Linked DNA regions of Saccharomyces cerevisiae S288C. The protein of the gene in region 2 purifies or fractionates together with the protein of the main gene of each other region. This does not show direct contact. Each region holds a gene or a part of one and is shown on either strand. Other genes may lie near its edges.

The links.
Region 1: the proteins of GID10 (region 2) and FBP1 purify together in Saccharomyces cerevisiae (affinity purification with western blotting, with the first as the bait; one study listed by BioGRID). This does not show direct contact.

Annotation. Positions count from the first base shown.
Region 1 is NC_001144.5:873,246-876,789, forward strand, and holds FBP1 (fructose 1,6-bisphosphate 1-phosphatase), read right to left. Parts: upstream 1,548-3,544; coding exon 501-1,547; downstream 1-500. Other genes in the region: PSY3 (Psy3p), read right to left, coding at 1-309; translocon subunit SEC61, read right to left, coding at 2,491-3,544.
Region 2 is NC_001139.9:619,598-624,468, forward strand, and holds GID10 (Gid10p), read right to left. Parts: upstream 2,203-4,871; coding exon 1,324-2,202; downstream 1-1,323. Other genes in the region: VHT1 (Vht1p), read right to left, coding at 1-261; YGR067C (uncharacterized protein), read right to left, coding at 2,775-4,871. UniProt on the Saccharomyces cerevisiae protein: Substrate-recognition component of the GID E3 ligase complex recruiting N termini and catalyzing ubiquitination of proteins targeted for degradation.

The sequences.
Region 1 (3,544 bases), on a different chromosome or scaffold from region 2:
TAATCCCGTGATGTTTATGCAAGATAGCGAATTCATGTAGATCGCGCCATGCTGTCTTTGCTTTTGTTGGGACCATATTGATACTATATCTATGATTAGGATCTTTTCGTCCCCCGTAGTACAATTCACCAACTTTTGCAGCGCTACCGAAGGTTTAAAATCACTTTCAATGATGTGCAAGAACCCTAGTTTACTCTCCTGCTCTTCACTAATTAGGTTTCTTAATTCATTTGGTAGGTTTATATAGTTCTTGGTTGATGTGATGAAGTTTGACAAAGGATAAATTCTAATGTTCTTTAAAACTTCCATCCCATTCCATTCGCTACTTCCTTTCTCTTTTCCTAAGAATTTTCATTATTAGAAGGAGTAATGCTTACGGTACACATACATACACATATATATATATAAATATATATATATATAAGGACATATACAGATTTTTTTTTTTCGCGTACTAAAGTACAGAACAAAGAAAATAAGAAAAGAAGGCGATCATTGAACTACTGTGACTTGCCAATATGGTCTAAAAATTTGTCAATTTCACCTGAAGAACCCAACCAAATAGAAGATTTGTCATGGATATGACTTGGCACCAAATCCAAGATTCTCTCTCCGCGATCGTTGACCGCTTTTCCCCCTGCTTGTTCCATTAAGAAAGCCATTGGGAAGGCCTCATAAAGCAACCTCAGTTTTCCGTTGGGGCTCTTCTTGTCGCAAGGGTATGCGAAAAGGCCACCGTAAAGAAACGTCCTGTGAACATCAGCAACCATGGATCCAACATACCTAGCCGAGAAAGGCTTGTTGTTGTTGTCTGCTTGGGGTTGTTTGACTTTCTCAATAAATGTTCTTATAGTCTCGTTCCAGTAGAGGGTGTTACCTTCATTAATTGAGTAGATGGCCTTTTGAGGCGGAATTCTTAAGTTAGGATGAGTCAAGATGAATTCGCCCAAGTTTGTGTCTAAGGTAAACCCATCAACTCCATCACCCAATGTCAATACTAGATGCGTAGAGGATCCGTACATGGCATAGCAAGCGGCTACCATTTCTTTACCACATCTCAGTACGTCGTTTATAGTACCTGATGAGTCTGGTAGCAGTCTGAATATAGACGCGATAGTTCCAACGGAGACACCGGCGTCCAAATTTGAGGAGCCATCAATAGGATCACAACACACTGCGTATGAGCCCGTGTTTGTGGGAAAAACGATCAAGTCTTCCTGTTCTTCAGATACAAGGACCTTGATGATCCCACTAGCCCTCATGGCATTGATAAATATTTCATCACCTAGAACGTCCAACTTCTTTTGCTGGTCACCAGTGAAGTTGGAAGCGCCTGCTAACCCAACCAAGTTAACCAATTCAGCACGTCTGATGGTGTGAGATACAAATTTGAACGCGAATTGCAAGGCATTCAGTACTAATGTGAAATCACCAGTAGCGTTCTTAAATTGCTTCTGGTGCTCGATTATGAATCTAGGAAGAGTGATGATATCGGTATCAAACCCTTCGGTAGAGTCTCTTCTTGGTCCATTTACTAGAGTTGGCATATGTGTGGTAGTATGAGGGATGTTTCTTATATGTTCGCACTGTTATTCTTAGGCCTATCATACAAAAAGCAAGATCAAGACAAAATACACGTCTGTAATTGCACTACTTGTTGCTCCATATATATACGTACATTTGTTAGCGAGTGAAATGGATAATATTGCCTATACATAGGACGATCCTTATAATATAGTGTGGGGAAGATGCCACAAGTTGGCAAGCGACAGGAAGAAACCAAGCAAACCAAAAAAAAAGTAGTGGGTATTGGCCAGTTCGGCAATCTTCGCCTTCAAATTCCCTGTCTCAACTTTTTAAGCTTTCTTGATATGTGGGAATACCAGGCTATTGCTGCCTTGCGTTGGCTCTTACGCCCTTAACATTACCTAGCTTTACTACATAATGAGCTTTCGGGCCCGCATAACTCCGGGTGTCCGCACGACCGCGACTACTAAGAATAATAATAATACCCCGGAGGTGAATTCAAAAGCGGCGATTCCATCCGTCCGGAAAAGAGAGCAGAAGTTAGCCCGGGACCATGCAGTTTGATGGGTTGTCTATCTTAGACTGGAAAATTCGAAGAACTCATCCTTGTTAGCTCAGTTGGTAGAGCGTTCGGCTTTTAAGCGCATTTGCTTAAGCAAGGATACCGAAATGTCAGGGGTTCGAGCCCCCTATGAGGAGTTCTTTACTTTTTTTTTATCAACTTCCTTTGCTTCACGCCTATTATAAATTTAGATCGCGTATGATATTGTTAATCGGCGGTTAGAATTTATAAAAATCGACGATTTTCTAGGAATTATTTGCGCATACATATATATAGTTATTTAGCTCTATACAGGTGTAAGAAGGCGTTGATAAAACTATGGTAACAAAATAAAAAAATAGAGGGAGGGGTGTGGCTAAATGCGATTTTTTTTTTCTTTGGATATTATTTTCATTTTATATTCACATCAAATCAGAAAATCCTGGAACGAGGTTCTTAGTAAACCCACCTTCCTTGGCGGCAGCTTCGTAGTAGCCGTAGATGGTGGTAGTAGCCATCAAAATGGATGCCCCAGAACCTAAAGTACCTAGTAGGTCGGAGCCAACAGAAAGAGCACCGATGGTAGCACCGCCGAAAGCAGCAGCAGTTGGAATGATCTTCTTCAATTCTCTGTAAATGGAGGTTTCTCTCTTACCGTTAATGACCATGCCTTGATCTTTGAATTGTTTGGCAATGTCACGTGGGGAAGTGCCGGAGATTTCGATCCATGTCTTGGAAAATACTGCGCATGAACCAAGAACAAATGTGATGTAGACGATGGTCTTGATAGGGTCCAGAAGAGCTTCGGATAAAGACATTAATGGTTGGATGTAGTAGGCCAACCCGCTCAAGGCCATTTGAGGGCCCTGGGTGCCCGGCCTGATACCCCAAACACCGATCAAACGAATCAATGGATTGGTTGGGTATTTCTGGAAAAGGATTTGAGAGATCAAGAAAATGTTAGAAGTCAATGCACTCTGCAACATGATTGGGGTGTTGGAAGTATAAAAGAGTTTGATGGGGTAGATACCAATTTGACCTCTCACTTTGGTTGACCTGATGGGCAATTCGTAACGGAAGCCTTGTAAATATAAAACAAAGAGGAAGATGGCCACGGTCATCAACACTTGGAACATATTAGGTAGATTGGTACGGTAAAAGGCCTCGACAAGGGCTCTTTTCTTGTCCTTTCTGACAGCCAAAAGATGGAAAAAGGCAATCACAGCACCTTCGAACTCCTTACCACGACCGGAATTGACTGTAGTAGGAGCAAACGCTCTCCAGAAAATTTGTTCGGCAATATTGGTTGCCGTGAACAGAGAAATACCGGAACCCAAGCCGTAACCCTTAGATAGCAATTCGTCTAATAACATCACAATCAGCGATGCAAACATCAATTGAAAGATTAACAACAAACAGATGGGCAATCCGAGGTCCGAAGGGGCACCGTAGTTACCTGTCATGACGACCACAAGG
Region 2 (4,871 bases):
ATCAAAATATTTCCACCATTTACGCCCAGCTTCATCTCTCACTTCATATGGCAAGTCATGCCTTAAATTGTGAGGATGAGGTTCTACAGCTGTAGTTTCTGCCGTAACGTCTGTCTTCGAGGACTTATCTACGCTATGATGTAGCTCCTCTTCAGCTATGATACTGGAGTTAGTATCGTCTGAGTATAAGTACTGATCATCTTCGGGTAGTTTTCTCAAATGTGGGAAGTAGCTCCTCCACGATTTATTCGAAATTGTCATTATCTATTGATTTGTGTCGGTCCTTTTTTGAAAATTGAAACAAATGAAAAGGCGATTGCTCGTGGGTGTAGAGCCTTTATATATAGTTATGTTATAGCCGTAAGAGTCATGCAGATTTTTGGGAATGGCTATCATCAAACTTAGCCTTGCATCTCATATTTCGACTTTTTTTTTCATTTCACACATTTTTTTTTCCTTTCACAGTTGGGTGAAAGAGTCTCGGAGGCGGTACGGCGCTTTCTGTGTAAATCATCCTAAAGTGATTCATAATCTCAGAGCCATTTCGGGTGAACTAATGATGATTTTCTAGTAGACTACGGCAGTATCTTAGCTGACGCAATTGTAGCAATGGAGGCAATCATGTTAGTAAAGGACATTTTAGTTGTAGGAGCATAGGATCGACAGGCCATGTGAAAGGCGTACTAGCAAAGATTGAAGTAATGAGAATAATTGACGATGATTTTAATTTGAGCTTTTCAATGCAGCCGAATTCAGCAGTAGTTGCAGAACCGGACTAACACTTGAAAAAATCCCACGAGCCAGCTGCCGTCTAAGGATATTGTAATAAAGTTGGGCTTAAACTAAAGTTTTTATATCTTGGTTGTAAGGTTGTAATCATTCGTCTCAAGAAGAACGTTGAGTAATCATTAGTCCTCCGCATAAGTAGGTTGCCAATAACTTGTTCAGCAATGATGGTTGCAGCATATCCTCGCTAACGTTTTACTTACCAAATATTTTTTGCTGGTGATTAAGAAAGCTTCTACCATAAGAACACTATGTCAATTTAAAGCAATAATGTTTTCCTGAGTGTTCTTGAGCCTCTGTAAACGAATCATCAATTCAAGTATTTTTATTTTATTGCAAGGATATCGCCAACTAATTATTAACCGGCACTAATGATAGAAATGTTTTTATTTCGAACTACAAAAAGGGCATACATGACGTGGATATATGTAAAGGGTTACTAGTTTACTTATTGATGTAATATCAAGAACAATGTGCTTTTAAAAGAGACATGGTTGACGAGTAAACAAACATACATTGGTAATTCTATAAGGGTCTTTAGGCAATTTCAAATCCACTTGAGTAGGTGTTCAATGCGTCGCAGTTGGTTGGAACGAGTTCGAGTTTTTGAAACAATTCACAAGCGGGATGATAGTAGTAGCCTTCCACTGAACCTGTTAGCTGGTCTAAACACACATAGTAAAATCCCTCAAATGACGCGCCTTCCAGATGATGATTATCGTCCAACATCAGATTTTCTTGTTCCTCATCATCAAGTAGGAACCTTTCCTTCCATTTAAGATAAATATATCGTTGATTCATAAATTCTGCACTTTCATGATTATACTGACCAAAATTTCTTTCCGTTAACGACCAGTTATCAGAACCAAAATGACCAAACCTCTTCCAATGAGAGCAATCACTTTCTCTCTGAGCCATATAAGGGTCGAGCGTCTCCTCAGCGGGCCAATGCAGTGAACATAACGGGAATTGGTTATAATTGATGACATACCCTTCAAAAAGGGTAACAACTTTATCTAGGACTGGTGTTAAATTTTTAATAGTGAAAGTACCTGTGACATGCGGGTCCAAAGAACGCGAATCCTTGTAAAGTGGCAAGTTTACGGTATCAATCTTCACTTCCACCGTATAATACGTGTACTTTGACGATTGCGAACCGCCAAATCTCAATCCTGGCCTCAAAAAATCTAAATGTCTACCAAGGGATCTGTAGGTATATTTAGCATTCTTACCCACTAAATTGGTCCCTTCCTCGTAAACATCACAGTCCTCTTCTTTTGCTTTGAAGTGAGGCAAACGTGTATCAGTTGAGGAGGGTAGAGAGACATAGGCCGAAGTATATATTTCTTCAATGTTGTCATTTCTTTTGGCCCTTTCTAGAATAAACTTTCTTCCCATGATATTCAGTGATGTCATACCTACAGTATATTTTAAATGAAAAGTCTCATAACACAATACGAAAGGATAAAGATAACTCGTCGATGGCCATCATGATTGCCCTTTTTATATGTTTTTATCAAATATTAAACTAAACAACATATACAATTACATCATTTTTCCCTACTTTCTTTTTCTGTAATGGTTCATCGAAGCATTTTTAAGGGTGCCCTGAAGACTATTGTTAAAAAAAGGTACCGCATACATTCGAACCATTACCAGAAAAAAGAGGGGTGAAAAGACATTCTAAATTTTGTTATCGAATGTGAACAGAACACTTAAGAAAACGCCAAGGTTAAGAAGGCCTTGAGAGTATTGATTAAGGCGCATGGAGCACAGGTAAACGCGAAAGACGTTTTGTACTTCCTTTTACTGAGCACCTCTTACATGTAGTAGTAACCATCGCAGCGGAATAAGCACACAAAAAATGGTATTTACTTTTAGGCAAACTTGTGGGAAGTATTAAAATTATTATGTAGATTTATGTATATCGTTTGTGGTTGTATTAAACTTTAATGTTATTAGTGTTGTTAACAACATTTCTTTGGCCATTATTTTATTTGGCTAAAAATTTCAATGTTTTTACTTTGTTTATTGTCAGTTGAAGAAGCTGAGAATTCTTGTGATTCCATGTTTACCTGGGGTGGGACCACTATTGTTTGGACTAAATTGATATTGTTTCCTGTTGCCCTTAACAATGGTTGTTCCTTCTCTTGTTGCTTAGGGGCCGAGTTCACGTAGGTGTAATTACTCGTTGAGATAGGTTCAATGGCTTTTATATCTAATGGGGGCAGGAGAATCTTATTACAGTTTGAATCTCTCTTTAGGAAATTAGGAGAGAGTGGCAAACATGATGCTACTGAAAACGATTTCATATCAGAAGCACCAGATAAAGAACCTCTTGAAGTCTTGCGAAACGGCTGTTGAAGAGCAAAACAAGACCAATTAGAGATATCAGTCAACAATGCTTTCGTCTGGTCATTCAGGTGAGGGGAGTAGATTAAGTATGGGTAAAGAATATTATCTCTTAATGAAGATACAATAGCATGCAGTAGTATATGGTAAGCAATGAAGGAATCTGACCAAAAATCGAACAAAATGGAGTGTAAGTCTGTCACCAAGTTCTTTTGGTGTGTTATAATGTAGTCATTCACAAACACTTCAACCTTCTCAAATTCCTCTTTCTCTGTTGATGAAAGGTAGCTCTGACGTTGTACATAAATGGTATCGAACCAGAAATATAACATTAGGTGAACATTGGGGTTTACTAGTAATTGAGATACTTGTGATGGTGAAACATCCGAGCTTGCAATTAACTCCGATGAAAACAATTTTAGTTGGAAGCTGACAATGTCGGTAATTAACTGAATATTCCTTGGGTTTAAAGATGCCAGCGTGAAAGACTTCAAATTAAGAAGCATTGATATGATTGATAAGTTCGTGGTGATCAAGGTTTCATCAACAAATGAGGAAGAATGATGAAGTAAGCACGAGGTCGATACCTGTGGAAAGTTATCAATGAACCATATGTTCCTTGTGGTCCCATTTCTCAAAGTCAAGTTGTTGATGAATTCGAACCAAATCGTTTCCCACAATAACCAGTTACTTTTCGATTTGCAGTCCGTAATCCTGGCGTTCATAACGTTCGCAAATAAAGAGGGGTTTGCACTAGTTTCAGGTTTGATCGGCTGCTGCATTACGAAACATTCATTCAAGTAAACCAGCAAATCATGCACTCTAAAATCAGATGGCAGCTCTTGCGGATAAGTCTTCTTTATTATAAAATACACGTACGCGGAATCTGCCAAAATATTGATATGCTTTAAAGTTAAGTCAGTAGTGGACATTGACGGTCCCTTGTATATGAAGTCCTTAAGTGGATTAGACGAAATAAACTCTTGATTGACGAACCAACCAAATATTAGTAAAGAATCGTTGTTGAAGTTGTTTGAATCGCGCAAGATATTGACCCATAGATCGAATATGAACCATGCATTTTCCTTACTATTCAAATAATGGTAACTGGAGGATGCCACGGTGAATGGCTTCAGAATATCTTGAAGCATTGAAAACACATCGAACTTTTTAATGGAATTAGAAACAGGAATGTTATTCTCCAACATTACTAGAAGAGAATAAAATAGAATCAAGGCAAAAACATCATGTTGCTCTGTCTGTGACAAAATGTCCTCAGTGTCAAAGTCATTGTCATGTTTAGATGAGCTAGCATACAAATTCGTACAACAGATAAACCATAGTTTTTGAGAATCTTGATTTAACGAAATGGACATACCCAGACAAGCTATTATGAGACCAAAAGGCTTGTTAATCCAAAAACTTTCCACCAGCTCGTCATTTTGTAGTGATGAGAACAGGTCTGGAAAGAAATTTTGGAAGATCTTATTTTCTACCAAGTGGCTTACACCCATTCTGAAGAAAGTTAGAATATCTCTTGAGCTAATAAAATCTAATGAATATTCTTGCAAAATTTTTACACTGATGGAGGACTCCAACCGGCTTTTAACCTGCTTAAAGCGGCTTTTCCCTTTCTTTAAACTAGAGGACTCCTTCCCAATCACACAACGTTGCTGCTTATCCATTTTTTCAACATTACTACTATGATAGTGAATATTGATAAGGCCGCTGTT